Linked DNA regions of Caenorhabditis elegans. The protein of the gene in region 1 interacts with the protein of each later gene in a pairwise test. Each region holds a gene or a part of one and is shown on either strand. Other genes may lie near its edges.

Evidence for each region. The genes of interacting proteins can lie anywhere in the genome.
Region 2: the proteins of mab-3 (region 1) and irx-1 interact in a two-hybrid assay, tested with the Caenorhabditis elegans proteins (one large-scale study listed by BioGRID).

The regions. Positions count from the first base shown.
Region 1 is NC_003280.10:9,730,637-9,738,263, reverse strand, and holds mab-3 (Protein male abnormal 3), read right to left. Parts: upstream 6,034-7,627; 5' UTR 5,962-6,033; intron 4,853-5,961; 5' UTR 4,843-4,852; coding exon 4,700-4,842; intron 3,254-4,699; exon of another isoform or gene 3,253-3,253; coding exon 3,174-3,252; intron 2,496-3,173; coding exon 2,349-2,495; intron 1,980-2,348; coding exon 1,808-1,979; intron 1,303-1,807; coding exon 971-1,302; 3' UTR 229-970; downstream 1-228. UniProt on the Caenorhabditis elegans protein: Transcription factor which binds the DNA motif 5'-[CGA][TCA][TA]ACAATGT[AT][TGA]C-3', probably as a monomer.
Region 2 is NC_003279.8:9,535,930-9,542,645, reverse strand, and holds irx-1 (Putative iroquois-class homeodomain protein irx-1), read left to right. Parts: upstream 1-1,679; 5' UTR 1,680-1,760; coding exon 1,761-1,781; intron 1,782-2,313; coding exon 2,314-2,775; intron 2,776-2,975; exon of another isoform or gene 2,976-3,115; intron 3,116-3,370; coding exon 3,371-3,730; intron 3,731-4,230; coding exon 4,231-4,441; intron 4,442-5,447; coding exon 5,448-5,527; 3' UTR 5,528-6,181; downstream 6,182-6,716.

The DNA of each region.
Region 1 (7,627 bases):
AACTTTTTAAAAACTCAGAAGCAACGAAAGTTTAAATTTAAAAAAAATATGTTTTCTGAAACAGGAGAAATTGGGAAATACCCTATGGTACGGTAACGGAAAAGTTTCATTCGTGCTAAGACCTTGTCTATGGGTTTCTACATGGCCGCGGAAGAGAAAGCTCGGCCGCCAACTTTTTTTCTGGAAATTGCTGTACGATCAAGTTTGCATACAGAACCAAGACGATTTAAAAATGAAAAGTTTATTGAAAAATCAAAAATAATAAAAATAAATCAATAATTATTAGACTCGATGCGTCGTGTGTTTGTATGTTTGGAAGTTCTATACATTTTTCTCTCCAAAAAATGTTTGGTTTTTTAAAACCAAAACATTAAAAAACATGATTTCACTTTTTTTCAAAATTATTACCACCGGGGGTGTCTAAAACGGACCGGTTAACTGTTTAGGATTTGATCCTATTTTCCGAGATAAAACAAAGAGAGAGGGAACGAGAATGAGAGACGCAGAGCGAGAAACAATACAGTAATCCTGGGAAAGTGTGGGCGGAGCTCAGCTCAATTTGGGCGGGGACAGTGGGAAATCGATGCAAACGGAAGAATATCGGTGAAATTTGGGAATTTTCGAAGAAATTGATGACATGATTAGGTGGCGAAGAGACATAGAAAGATAGTATGTGGTTTGGTGAGAGACGAAAAGATTATTTGAATTTAAAAAAAATGGGGATTTTTGGAATAACACAAGCGGTCTTGAAGACGAGAAAAAAATCGGTAAATTGGTTGGTTCACTTGGTGAAAAATGAATGAAAAAATTAGAAAATATAACAAAATTGGTAAAAAGTGAAAATTCAAGAAAATATGAAAAAATCATTGAGTTTGAAACCAAAGATAAAAAGAGATTGTGTGGAAAATTAAGCAAAGAAGGGAAACATACAATTTTTCTAAAAATCAATAATTGGTCAAAATTATAGATCTTAGGCTTGCAGACCATAATTTTTCAGATACATACTCCAGAACTCATTCAAAATTGCTGCCGATGAGACAGAACCTGCAGAAATGCCTGGAAGGAGTGGAGCCTGTTGTCCGATTGATGGAGCCATATTTTGAATAATGCTCATCAGGAACTGTTGTTGTTGCAAGCTTATCAATTGTTGATTCATTGGGATCGGCGGATAGATTGGAATCGGAGCAGCCAGCGTCAGAGTGTATTGAGCCAGAAGTGGAGATGGAGAGCATGGTGGAGACATTGAAAGGGATGGGGACATTGTATCAGTGGTTGAGGATGGAGATGGACTTGCTGATGTTCCTGGAATATTATAGATTTAATTTCTTTGAAGCTACAATATAAATTTTAACTGTCTGCGTTGATATTTGCATCAAAATTACCACTTTTTTGTCTTCCCCTGAATTTTGAAAATACATTGGCTTAAGTGGTAATTATCTTTAAGGCAAAGTAACTTTCAGGGCAGGGCCCGCCTGATAGGTAAGCAGAAAGACATATTCTATAACTGAGAAGTTGTACCAATTTGAGATTCTAGACATATTTGAAATTAACCTCTTAACTTTCGTAATTGTTTATTGATGCGTTTGGATATTCCCGTATTTGATTGTTTCGGTACGAAAAATTGGAAATAACAAGTAGCCATTTTATATAATCTATGAGTTGATGGTAAAATCTATGTTTCTGATAACGTTAATACGTACCGTCAACTCTAGAATTACTTCCGACTGGATTTCAGGTTTAGACTCCAATTTTTGTGATTCTGACTTAAAGCTCAATTTACACACTTCTACAAAATCCCATAGCTTACCAATTATCTTTTGACCATCTGTAGCTGTGACAACCATCATCTCCATATCCATATCTTTCGATTTTCTACGAGAGTTCCTTTTTGGTTCTTTACCATCTCGGGATTTCTGTTGTGATCTGCGTAATTTGATTTGAGCCGCCATAAGATTTCGACGGTGTTCCACAAGAGTACACTGAAAAATAATATTTTTAAACTCGAAAATCGTAGTTCTGTTTACGCGTTTTCAAAAATCTCACACAAATTAATGTGGCAACTTTCTCTGTCAGTCCAAGAGCATGCTCCAAGTTGCCTGCTCCACAACAATTTTTAAAAAGTCAATTCGTAGCACTGTTGCATTAAAAATACTTCGAAATAGTTGAAACTTATCAAAATGTTTCAAAAAGTCACATTCTCAAATCTCATTGGCAAGCCACTCCCCCATTTCCCTACAGTACTTTTATAATCCTATAATTTCTTCGCGCAGGTGACATTGAAAAGCATAAAAACTGCAATGTTGTCAAGGGCGCCTGACTGCCGATGATGACAGTATAATTACACTTACCAATGTACACTCGCATGTCACAAATTGGCACATTGTCCGCTTGTGTCCCCGCAATGGGACTAGGACTCCGTGAGCCGAGCACCGAGCACAGTGTGGGTCACGGACACGCTTCCCATCACGGGTTTGAGTTGCCGGTGTGCAGTGGATCTGGAAATTTGGAAAGGTTTATAAGGGGTCCCGCTAAAAAGTGTTTTATTTTCACAGTAATATTATAGGAGTTAATGCAATCACAAAAACAATAACCAAGAAATTCGGTATAAACTTTCAGTAGGCTCAAGAATGCTTGCAGTCAATGCAGCCTACAATTGCCTCATACCTACACGCATACCCATGGTCCAAAGTGAGCATTTTTCTCATTTAAAAATACACTTTCAACAAATAACTGAAATAAAACAATAAGGTAGGTACGCCTATAGATGGCCAGGCAATGACCTATATGTGACTTGCCACAACAAGAGCCCCTTTTGAAAAAGAACAACTTCATGAAAAATATACCTACCCTTAAAAAAATCCGATAAAATCAATCTTTTTCTCACTTTTTCTTTGCTTTTCACACTCTATCTATTCGTATCTTCAATTGTTTTTCTTACAAAAAGAGAAAAAAGCCAAGACGTCAACCCACTTTTCATTTTGAAAATGTCAGATTTGATCTGAAGTTGCGATTTTTTGGTGAACTGATAAGATGTGGTATTTAAGTGCGTGAGAACGCACATACAACCTTCAAGACCGCCTACACCGCGAAACAGAAATGTAGGCAGACAGGAATGAGGTAAGGCACAGCCACCTACAGCCACACCTACCATAGAATCCCTATAGAATACTCACCTTCTTTTTGCTTAGCAAATTGTTCAACTGTCTTCGCTGCTCGACCATCGTGCATTCTCGACATGGACATTTTAGATATCTGTAAAATGTTCGTCTTGTTTATTTTTCAGTGCCACTTGGTGTCATCGACGGGAGAATTTTGTAGTTGTACAGTAACCCGCCCACCCATTCAAATATTTTATTAGACTTTTCACAATAGAGATAGGCCCTATCTTTTGTTAAAAATTATATGAACTGAAAAAATTGGGAGAAAAAAAAAATTGGGTGAGGAATTTTACGACTGTATAGGTCATTGTGGAATGGTTTGTTTGAAAAGTGAGTGTATCTGTGTGATTGGATGTCAAAAAATGAATGAAGATTTTTGAATGAAAAGCAAACATAATTTTTTAATAATTTTCGGTTCCAAAAAAAATAATAAAAAAGGCTGAAAAATTTTTAGTTGCTTGAATTGTCTCAAACTGATCCCAAACAACCAAAATTCATGATGTAACTTCCCAAACATATCTCGAAAAAAAAGAAGCGCTTTTTTGAATTTATCTAAACATTGGAAAAAATGATCGACCGAAGAAGAAGCTGGCAGAATTTCACTAGTTTTTTTTTTAATTTTTAACCGGATAGATATTATTTTTGTAAAGCCTAATAATGAAATTCGGTCGTTTCGGGCGAGTTTTGGATATTTAAACCAGAGAAGTACAAATTCTTTAAACGAGCGTTTAAAAAAACCTAAAAAGAGTAACACACCTTGATATACATATTATTAAATGTGTAGTAGCGAAATCAGGGAATTAAAAAAATTTCACATAGGTATTCAAAAAACTCTTGTAGTCATTTTAAAATGTTTCCCAGATTTCGCTAATCCATCTTCAATTTAGCTTAGTGATAATTGTCGTCATTGCAAGATCTTTTTGAGTCATCTTTCACCTTGGTGAAACATCTACAGTATCCCTAGACCACCTTCAAAATGGTTTAGGTTAATGTATAAAACATAACTTTTTGCCTCTTTGCATTTTCCCATTCTTCTCCTCCGTTTTTCGCGTCCATATAATAATTCGTTTTTGACCCCCCTCACTCATATAATAACAATTTCACCTGTATGGGTGGTATTTTTCGCTTTAAATCGACAAGGTCAGCTGTTTTTTCTTGCTTTGCGTCTTTTCTTGCCCGATCGTAATCGGTAGACGAACATCTCAAATTTTACGGGTGTCTTTGTCGGAGGGCTTCGCGAAAAAAAAAACTGATGGTGGGTGAATAAGGTCGGTGACGCGACAATTTTGAGATAAAATTTGGAATTTGGAGTATTTATGGATAAACTACATACTTTTTCGGCACAACAAAAGTTACAAAAAGTTCATTAAACAGTTGTTAACTTTTTATCGTTGCAAGACCCAAAATTATCAAAAAATTCAAGAGTTTAAGCATTAAAACGTGATGTATATAATTAAGGGTGAATGAGGGAGAAACATGGAATGACAAAATAGTTTTCAGATGAAATGTAGTTTAAAAATGCAAAAAAAACCATTGCTCACCTACAATCCGGCTTGTGACCTTTCCTTGGCTTCAACTCCCCATGATTTAAACATCTCTGACAATAATAATTTTTTTCTTGCTCGGCGAGCTCATCGACTGCTTTCGCCTCACAAATCTCCGATACGGGATCCTCGGTGAGCATTAGAGCTCCTCTGCAAAATTTTTTCAGATTATGAATTTAGTTGTTTTTGTTGAAATTTTTATTTTTAATTAGGGAATTAAAAAGAGGGATCTATAAGCATTATATGAAACTGCTATACTCTAATCTTGACTTATAAAATAATTACGAAATTTTGAAAATGTCGTGGAAAAGTCAAATTTTCAAGACTGATTTTTGTGAGAAAGAACATTTTTTCGCCAAAAATATTGTTCTTTGCATCGGAACAAATTTTCAATTTTTTAAAGGAGCAGCTGGTAATGCGAATTTTTTTTGTAATACTGTATCTTTTCTAGTTTCCAGTGTATATCTTTCGGATTAAAAAAATTTTCAAAGTAAAGTAAAAAAATTTTCTTTTCCTATAATGTTAAGAATTTTGAGAATTTAAAACAGAAAATTTAGAGAGCTTTGAAACCAGTTTTTTTTTCTTCAAAAATTACAGATAGCTCAAACATATATAAAATACGTTTTTATAATCTAAATGTTCAATTCAACGTTGGGCTCATTCTGTGACTTTAAATGTGGAATAAAGTTGGGCTACTGTATGTTTTTAAACCTGCAATAGTTAAAAATGTTAAAAACCAGTTTGAAATTTTTTCTTATAAAGAATTTTTCAGAACGGATATACATGGAATTTCAATATTTAATGGCAACAAAGTTTTATTAATTTACAGAACCGTATTGCTTATTTGACTTGAAGGAAAAAAAGAGCAAATAAATTTCTAAATAAAATACGTTTGAAGTTTTTCAAACCTAACTGCAAACTTTATAAAATCACAAAAATCGATTAATTGCAACTGGCAACATTTGATCGTGTTACAAAAGGTTCAATTTTTAATCAATTAGAGGTTTTTATCAAGAAATAATTTTTTGTAGAGACTAAAACCAAGACAAACAGACAAGTCAGGAGCTACAGTATTTCTACAATGTACATCAGATCAAATGTTCAAGTTTTTGTTAAGCCATTTTCTCAAAAATTTCAAAGAGTAGACTGTTAGGAAAGTCAGCCACAAATTGTAGACGCAAAGATGGAAACATTTTCACATAATTTTACTGTTTTCAAAAACCCCAAAAAATTATTCTGAATCGACTGGAAGCACCTACCCAAAAGTACAATTTCCTCCAACAAGGGGTCAAGATCGAGCTCCTAGAGCACCGATAGCATTCAAATATCGAAAAGAAAAGGAAAAGAGGGAGTAATAGGCACTCCCCTCCTGTGAAACGGGGCGGGTCCCAGCAAGAAAGAGTCGCGGCGACGAAGCGCCGCCTCTTTTTTGGCGACTGATGCCACCCGCGATTGGATAGAAGACCTCACACGACGATAATTAGAGAACGCCGAACGTGAGAAAACCTGGTAAGAGACGCCAGACAAACATATATCGGGAGGGAGCGGCGCCCCGAGACTATGGCGGTGGAGGGGGACACCGCTATCAGTTCTCGCGACGACATATTTTTTCTCTGGCTGACACTCCGCGAATCGTGTGATCTCTGCGTTTTTTGGGGACACCTGTAAGTACGTGTGATCATGGAAAGAGAAGAGACGAGAGAAAATTGCAAACTTTTAGTTTTTTATTTTATTTCCTGTAACTCAATTTTTATAGGTTTTGTTCGAACTTTTATTATCATTCGTTGGGTAGGCTTTTCTAGACTTTTCTGTATTTTAGAAAACTATTAAACATTCCTGGAATGTGACCTACCTTGCTTTAAAGGAAATTGAAACTATGTCTAGAATTATGGATCCACAAGTTGGAACCTTGGAGCCTATATAGAAAGCTTAATTATATTTTTTTTTCGAGGAAAAATACAATTCTTGAGCTTTTTTTCAGTCCATAGGGCCAAGATCCCGGCACCGGGCTGTAGAAAAAATTAGGACTGGAAATTCATAACTGCTCCCATGTGACCTAATTAATATTCATAAGCTAAGTACTTTCTTTCAGCTTTTACTAGCTTTTTTCATTTCTTCATTTGAATCTTAACCCCCCAACCCAACCACAATTTTTTTTCTGAACACCCGCGTCACCAGTTTCAGATTGATTACATATCTAAGCCTACAGTAATCCAATATTTCTCAATTTCGCCTAATGAGCACCTTCAGGTCTTGTGTTCAGTTAGCAGAGAGAGAATGAAAATTGGCAGTTTCAACGCACACATTTGATCTCGACTGTGTCCTCGAAATGGAAAGGAGAAGAAGCGGTAGAAACAAAGTGGGATTGACAAGAAAATTACAGAGGAAACATTTTTGGTAAAGGTTGATTTGGACCTGAAAATATATTAGGAATGTTTTCGAGAGAAGCTACCAAAAACTTTGAAAAGTAATAGTTTTGTTGAAAACTGTCTTACCAACTGTCAAAGTTCTAGTGACTCACTATTTAGTCAAACCGTTTTTCAATTACCAAGATTTGAAGTTTCAGTCAAAAATTATTGACCTGCAATGGATAACAATTTTCAATATGACTTTTAAAGTTTCAGTAATTTAAATTTCTCAAATTTTCCCGAACCAAAGATATTTCCAGTTCCACTTTATAAATGTCGTTAAAAAATTTTAGGTTTGAGAACCAACTTTCTAAAGGAATTGCTGATAAATTTTGACTAAATTCTTGTTTTCAAATGTTGCCGAATGGACTGTATTTACTCTGAACATTCTCTGTACTCCAAAGAGATCACCACATCGAGTCTAGACAGTCTCAACTCGCTCACTACCCGCCCCGCTGATTGTTTCGCTCGTAGGAAAAAAACGGCTGAAGTGTGAGAGTGAACGAACATTCCGTCG
Region 2 (6,716 bases), on another chromosome or scaffold:
AAAGCACCAAAACCCATTAACTAGTTGCTTCTTCTACTTCAATTCCACAGCTTCATCATCTTCTGGCTCCAGCTCCTCATAAATTGTGCCGCGACCTCATGTCTACACCCTCCTACCTCCCGTGTTCCTCCCCCGGCGATTGACTCCGCCCAATGACTCCTCCTCCATCGCTTTCTCATCATCGTTTGACATCAATCTCCCTACCATACACCTTTTTGTCTTGTTTGGCTCATATGTACCTACATCTTCCTGTATTAGTACAAACTTCCGCCATTGAACTTTTTTTGTTGCAACTTTATGTTACTATATATGTGTTGTTGTTACATGTTGTAATAACTAAATGATCGAATGACCCAAAGAGAGATGTTAACACAATAACTGACACAATAGTAAATGTATTACACCGTGTCCTCTTTTTTTACCTTTTTCTTCTCCATTTTCTTTTTCTTCATCATCGTCATCAGCGCCATCGTTGGCCACTTACTCTCGCCGGCGCCCCCTATCCAGCAGCTACACTTCTTTACACCCCGCTTCGGACAACAAGAGACATGCCATTTTAAACTTCTATTCTCTCAATTCTTGTCCCCCTACAAACCGTTCTGACCATTACCTAATTGCTTCTACGATGTATCATTCTTGACTTAAGTTCACTGATTTCAGCTTCTTCTCCTTTGTCCTTTTTTTGTTCGTGGCGCCATTGTGTGTTCGGGTCATTTGATAGTACTCTCTAGATTTTCCGTCGTTTTACTTTTTAACTTTCAAATGTTTATACTTTTTTTCTCTTCATCCTGCCAATATTTCGGATTAAACTCTATGCAATGATCCTTCCAAAGCTTCCTCTTCCCGTTATTTGCTTCAATTTTCAGTTTCCATTCGTGAGCCAGCCAGCAAATTTACAACTTGTTTGCTCTTCGTCCTTGTGAATACATTTATTGAGATTTTTGGTTCTTGTATTTCTTAATTTTCATTCCCAAACTTGATAATTGGTAGAGGTAGAGAGGTATTAGGTTCGAAAGATTTTTTTTGCACAAAAATAACAATTCTAGAATCAAACTTGGAAATAATAACACTAAACAATGAAATAGTAAGATATCAAAACCATCATCATTCTTACAATCATTAGCTGGAACGGTTAATTGTTTATCTTTCAATCTCTTTTAGTTGCCATATCATCAATTTGTTTTCTTTCCGTTCGATTCTTGTATCCTTCATCATCATCTTCTTCTACTTCTCTTTACTCCGATTCTTTTCCGTTTCTCTTCGTGAATTTCTCCGGTTTATCTTGTTAAATCTACGTGTTCGCACGTGTTTTTTGCGCTTCTTCAATTTCTTTCCCTACTCTCCAGGCCCCGCCCTGTGGCTTCCATGTCTATTGGATGGTGGGCGGGACTTGAGAGAGAGAGAGAGACACACACGGCCCCGGGCGGGCATCTGCAGAAAATCGAGATTGCTCAACAAGTTGTTGAACATAAGGTCCCACATAGTTCTACATCATCTCAATTTCTTCAAGAATTATCAATCAAACCTTTTCTCTTTCTCTTCTATGCTTATCACTGAATCGCTCCTCCTTTGCTCCCTCTTGATTTCGTCGCCTCTCTGCCTCTCTCTCACTCTCTCTGTCTATCTTTTTCAACAAAAAACTGCTCTGGAATTATAACTGATATCAATGTGTTCTTCAGATCATAAATAATCATACTTATCAACTATTGTTTCTGCACTTGTACTGAGATCAACACATCTACTTCTACTACACCATCACAATGATTCCTATTGCCAATCAGGTCAGTTTTTAAGCGATAAGTTTAATAAGCTAAATTATAATTTCTATATTCTCAAGTAGTGTTCTTACATTTATTTATTTCATTTTTGTCCTTCTTGACACTTGGAGTCAACTTCCTGCTCTTTCCAATTGCCATGTTAACCTTGCACCGCCACTGCTTGGCGGTTTATATCTCGGTTGCCTTCAGCTTTATCAAAAAGTGTTATACAACCAAAACATAGAAAATTATTTTGCAAGTAAATTGTCCGTTTGAAGTTTTTTAATAAAACCACAAAGAACTGAGATATAAACTGTCAAAGTGAAGGAAGAGGGGGGTGCAAGTCTAATATAGAAAATTGCAGTTGAGAAGTTGTCAAAGCTTGGACAAGGTTTTCGTTTTCGATTCCTACCAATTTTTACATAAATCTTAGATTAGACAACATTTGAACACAGTCTCAAAATACTTCCTTCCAAAAAATTTAGATGCCAAATGTCAGATTTATTCGTTTGGATACCTTCACTTCACCTGACTAGAAAAGTAAATCCATTTCCAGGTCAAAATGGAAGAGCCCACAACACCACAAACAACGACTCCTGCTCCACCCACTTCAGCTCCGGATGCACTTCGCGGAATTCTGCCACCAAACCTTTTAGGTCAATTTCATTTCCATCCTGCCATGGCTCAAGTTCTCGCTGCTCAAGCTCAAGCCGCCGCCGCCGCTCAACAAGCAACTCTTGCTGGCTTCCCCGGAGTTCCGATGTTTCCACATGGAATTCCAGCAGATCTGAAACCAGAAATGTTATTAGGTGGAGGGCCAGGACCGATGCCCATGTTCTTCAGTGATGCTCATCGTTTATATCATCCATATGGTTTAGATGGAATCAAGAAAAGAAATGCAACACGAGAAGCAACTGCACCACTCAAAGATTGGCTTCATTCTCATAGAAAGAATCCATATCCATCAAAAGCTGATAAAGTTATGTTGGCAGTTGGTACAGGAATGACACTTACACAGGTATGTTGTATTATTTCTTGTTTTGACAACAATTAGTAAATGCAACACTGTGAAATGATTTAATAGCCGTAATAGCCTATTACCAACCGTAATCTCGTAATTTACTCCACAATATTTGCTCAATTTATTAGCTCACACGGGATTTTAGAGCCGCCTCTAGTCATCAATTACAAATACCACAAAAAATATTGTTGTAAAATGTAGTAGACAGTGTTTCCCGCAGTGTTATTGTAACATTAGCCACTCACCGGCCATCAAACCCCGGGGGCAAATGTCTCCTTTTTTGACCGATGCCAAAAAAAGAGGGGCGAGAAACAAAAGATGTACAGAGGCGATAAGCGATGATGATGACACCTCGTACCCCGCTTAATTAATGTGTTTCGAGAGACATTCTTTACACAATACGAGAAATGTTTCAAACCAAATAGGGCTACTACTTGTTTGATTTTGTTGCAATAGACCAACAACACACAACCTTGGCGCCAAAAATTAGATTTTAAAATTGTTTGAACCAAAACTTTGAAGTTATTTTATTAAAATAAACTCTAGCCCGAAAAACAAAGCCGAAGCTTGAAATTTATATTTTTAATTACAGGTCTCGACATGGTTTGCTAACGCCAGAAGACGACTGAAGAAGGAGAACAAGATGACTTGGTCACCACAAAATCGACGAGGCGATGGTTGTGATGACGATGAAGACGACGATGATGATGACATGAACCGTCCATCAAGCTCAACATCCATAAATTCCGAAAGAAAAGGAGAATCCCTATTCGGAAAGCCACATCTAGCATCACCAACGCCTTCGGGAGGATCTGGAGGATCAGATGAGTTGACAACACCGAAGAAAGAACTAGTATCCCCAATTCCAAATGATGATTCTGAAAGTCCGAAGCGTAAACCAAAAATGTGGTCGATTGCCGATGTCACTTCAGATGACGATTCATCAAAGAAGGTGAGAGCAAAAAAGTTTAGATCATAAAATACATTGTACAGATTTTATAGTTTTCCCCATCTTCCCTCTTATTCTAACAGTTTTACGAAATGGACTTAAAAACTATTATATGTTTAGTAGGGGCAAATAAAGAGTCCTCCTCTCCCTTCATCTTGTTCTGCACATTTTATAGAGATGTAAACTAGTATGAATCATTTGTATGTGTGTATGTGCAAACTTGTGAGGTGAGTGTGAAGCAGCCGACAAAACTGTGCCGCTTTAACAACAAACATGATTGAATGATGGTTTTATACATTTTCATAAAGTACATTAAGGAATTGATGGGAGATCAGGGGGTCATATTGTAAAGTTTAGGCATGGGTTACTGTACTTGGAAGATACATTGAAGCATACAGCAGTGCCTTTTGGCAGCTTATATTTTTCATAAAGTTGTTAAAGTGAAGTAATTTAGTTCAAGATGATGAATAATGGTAACCCCTAGCAAACATCTTTTTATTTAGGATTCTCCACCATCATCAGACGAAAATCTATTAACGGGAAGCTTGTTCCAAAACGCAATGAAAAAACAAATGGAAGTAATGGCACGATTGGATCCAACTTTGTTCCGTCACACAATGCACCCATTCATGTTCCAACTTCTAGCCCAACAAGCTGCTCAAGGGCAACAACTTGCACTTTTGGCACCACAAACAACTCCTCCAAATGAAGCAGGTGAGGTGAGCAGGTGAATACACTTTTCTTACATTTTGTTACATGGCAACCTGTCTGCTTTTTCTTATCATTCTTTTTTTGGGTATTCCGAATGATTGACAGCTAGTTGAACACCGTGCGTGCTTGTACATGAACAAGAAAAGTCGAAACGTAATCCTCTTAATTTTAAAGTTGTTATCCTGTCGTGACGCTCAGTTTTTTTGCTATTTAATGCACTAATCATCCCATATTTACTGATAATAGGTGTATGTTTTCTGATACACATTATAAGGGGAAAGTTCAGTAGCTACAGCTTCTAGATAGGCATTAACAAAAGAGGGTCTACACTTAAGTTCTAGATCCTTTTCAAATGTTTTAGCTCAGAAAGAGGAGTTCTTTTCTATGTAATAATTTTGTTCGAAACGTCAAAGGCAACGAAAAAGGGCTTAAACTGAAGTAAGTGTCTCCTCATTGACCCCACGGATTAGTGTGCTCGTTTTTCTAAACCGCGTGTTCTTCGTCACTCAGTTTTTGTCCAAAAAAGGAGCGCTGCTCCCGGAGTCAAGTCACCGAATGATAAATTGCCGATTTGATCCGTTCGTATAGTTGATGGGAAACACTTTCTTATAACTTATTGAACATGTAAAAGCAATTCTAGTTGACCAATATGGGGAAAAACTAGAAAGCCTAGTCTTATTTGAAACGTTGAACTGAAATTTCTCAGAGCATTCCTTCAAATACAAGCATGTCAAGCTGCTCTAAATCCGGATTTTACATTATTTTAGTGATTTTAAGGTTGTTTAGATGCAAAAAACATTCTGAAAGCTTTTTGGAGATTTTAATAATTTTCAAAAAATCAGATCATTTTTCACACAACTCAATCTTAAAACTTTCAAAAACTAAAAATTTCAAAAACTTTTGAAATATAGCTTAATTGACTTGGTGCCTAGGTTTATTGCAATATACAATATTTAAAAAATCTTTGAACAATTTTTAAGCCTTGATTTTAATGAATAAATAATTTCAGGTCTGAACTCTCAAGCGGAGACGTCGACGCCATCTCCAGCATCTTCTCCAACGTCGTCTCCACGGTCCCACCAAGAGTAGAAACCCCAGCTTATTAAGTTTAATTTTTTTAAATGAATATTGTACTCTCTCAAAGTTTCACCTCCTCCACTAAGAACTCTGAAATCGAGAAAATATGATATAAACAGCGGGTCTTTGAATTTCATTTTTTTCTCCATCCCATTTAAGTTTCGATTATTTTGGTCTCTCTCTATGTACAGTACAGTATTGTCTCCCAAATATTCACATCCCATCAAAAATTTCATTCGGTTACTGTAGCACCATATAGGCTTTTTCTTTCTCATTCATTTGCTTTTTTATGTTCTTTTAAACTTTATATGAATTCCATGACTATGAATTTTTTGTCTCTCTTTCTCTATTTTTTCCCCCAATTTCTCCCAGTTTTTTCTCACATTATTAACATTATTATTATTTCAATTCCACACAATTTTTCACAGGATGCATCTAGTTTTTGAGCTTATGATCGGTTTTCTCAATTTCCCGCCAATAATTGGAGTACTTTAGAAACAATTTTCTTTTTTTCTTGCTTTTTCCCACCAATTCGCTTCAAATCTCTTCACGCAAACCCACTTTTCTTACAATCCCATCTCATTTCTTTGACAATTTACAGTTTTTTGTGAGAAAGATACAACAACCTGCACGCATAATTTAGAAAATGAAGAAGGTTTAATATTTATTTCTTGAATATATTTTAAGCTAACAAAAAATCATGAAAATGGATATACATTTAATTGCACAAAATACTGCAACCATTTCAAAGAATTGCAGGCTGAATTAGTGACAACATTTCGGTTATCAAGAACGTGCACTTTTAAAGTAATTTTGAGCATTGCTTCATGTTCAAAAACATAGAATTTTTAAAACACAAATGGTTATAGAAACAAAATTAAAAACGTATAAAACTGGTTGATGATATATTTTTTTTGGTCGACTGTCAAATTATGATTGGTAAAACTAAGTTATCACCACATTTTGGCTGTAAATAAAAATTTCTGAAAAGGTTCACAATGATATTTAGACGTTTTAGCGTTTTTTTTTTAAATTTCCACTTAAAAATTCAATTGAAGTCTTTTTAGTTTATTTTCCCATTACTGTTTTTTGCCGACCTCTTGAAATTTAGGGGATGTGTAAATGTAGACATATGTACATTTTGGAAGCTTTTTTTAAAAAGAAATATCATGATTCTTAAAAAATCTGATAAAATAAATAA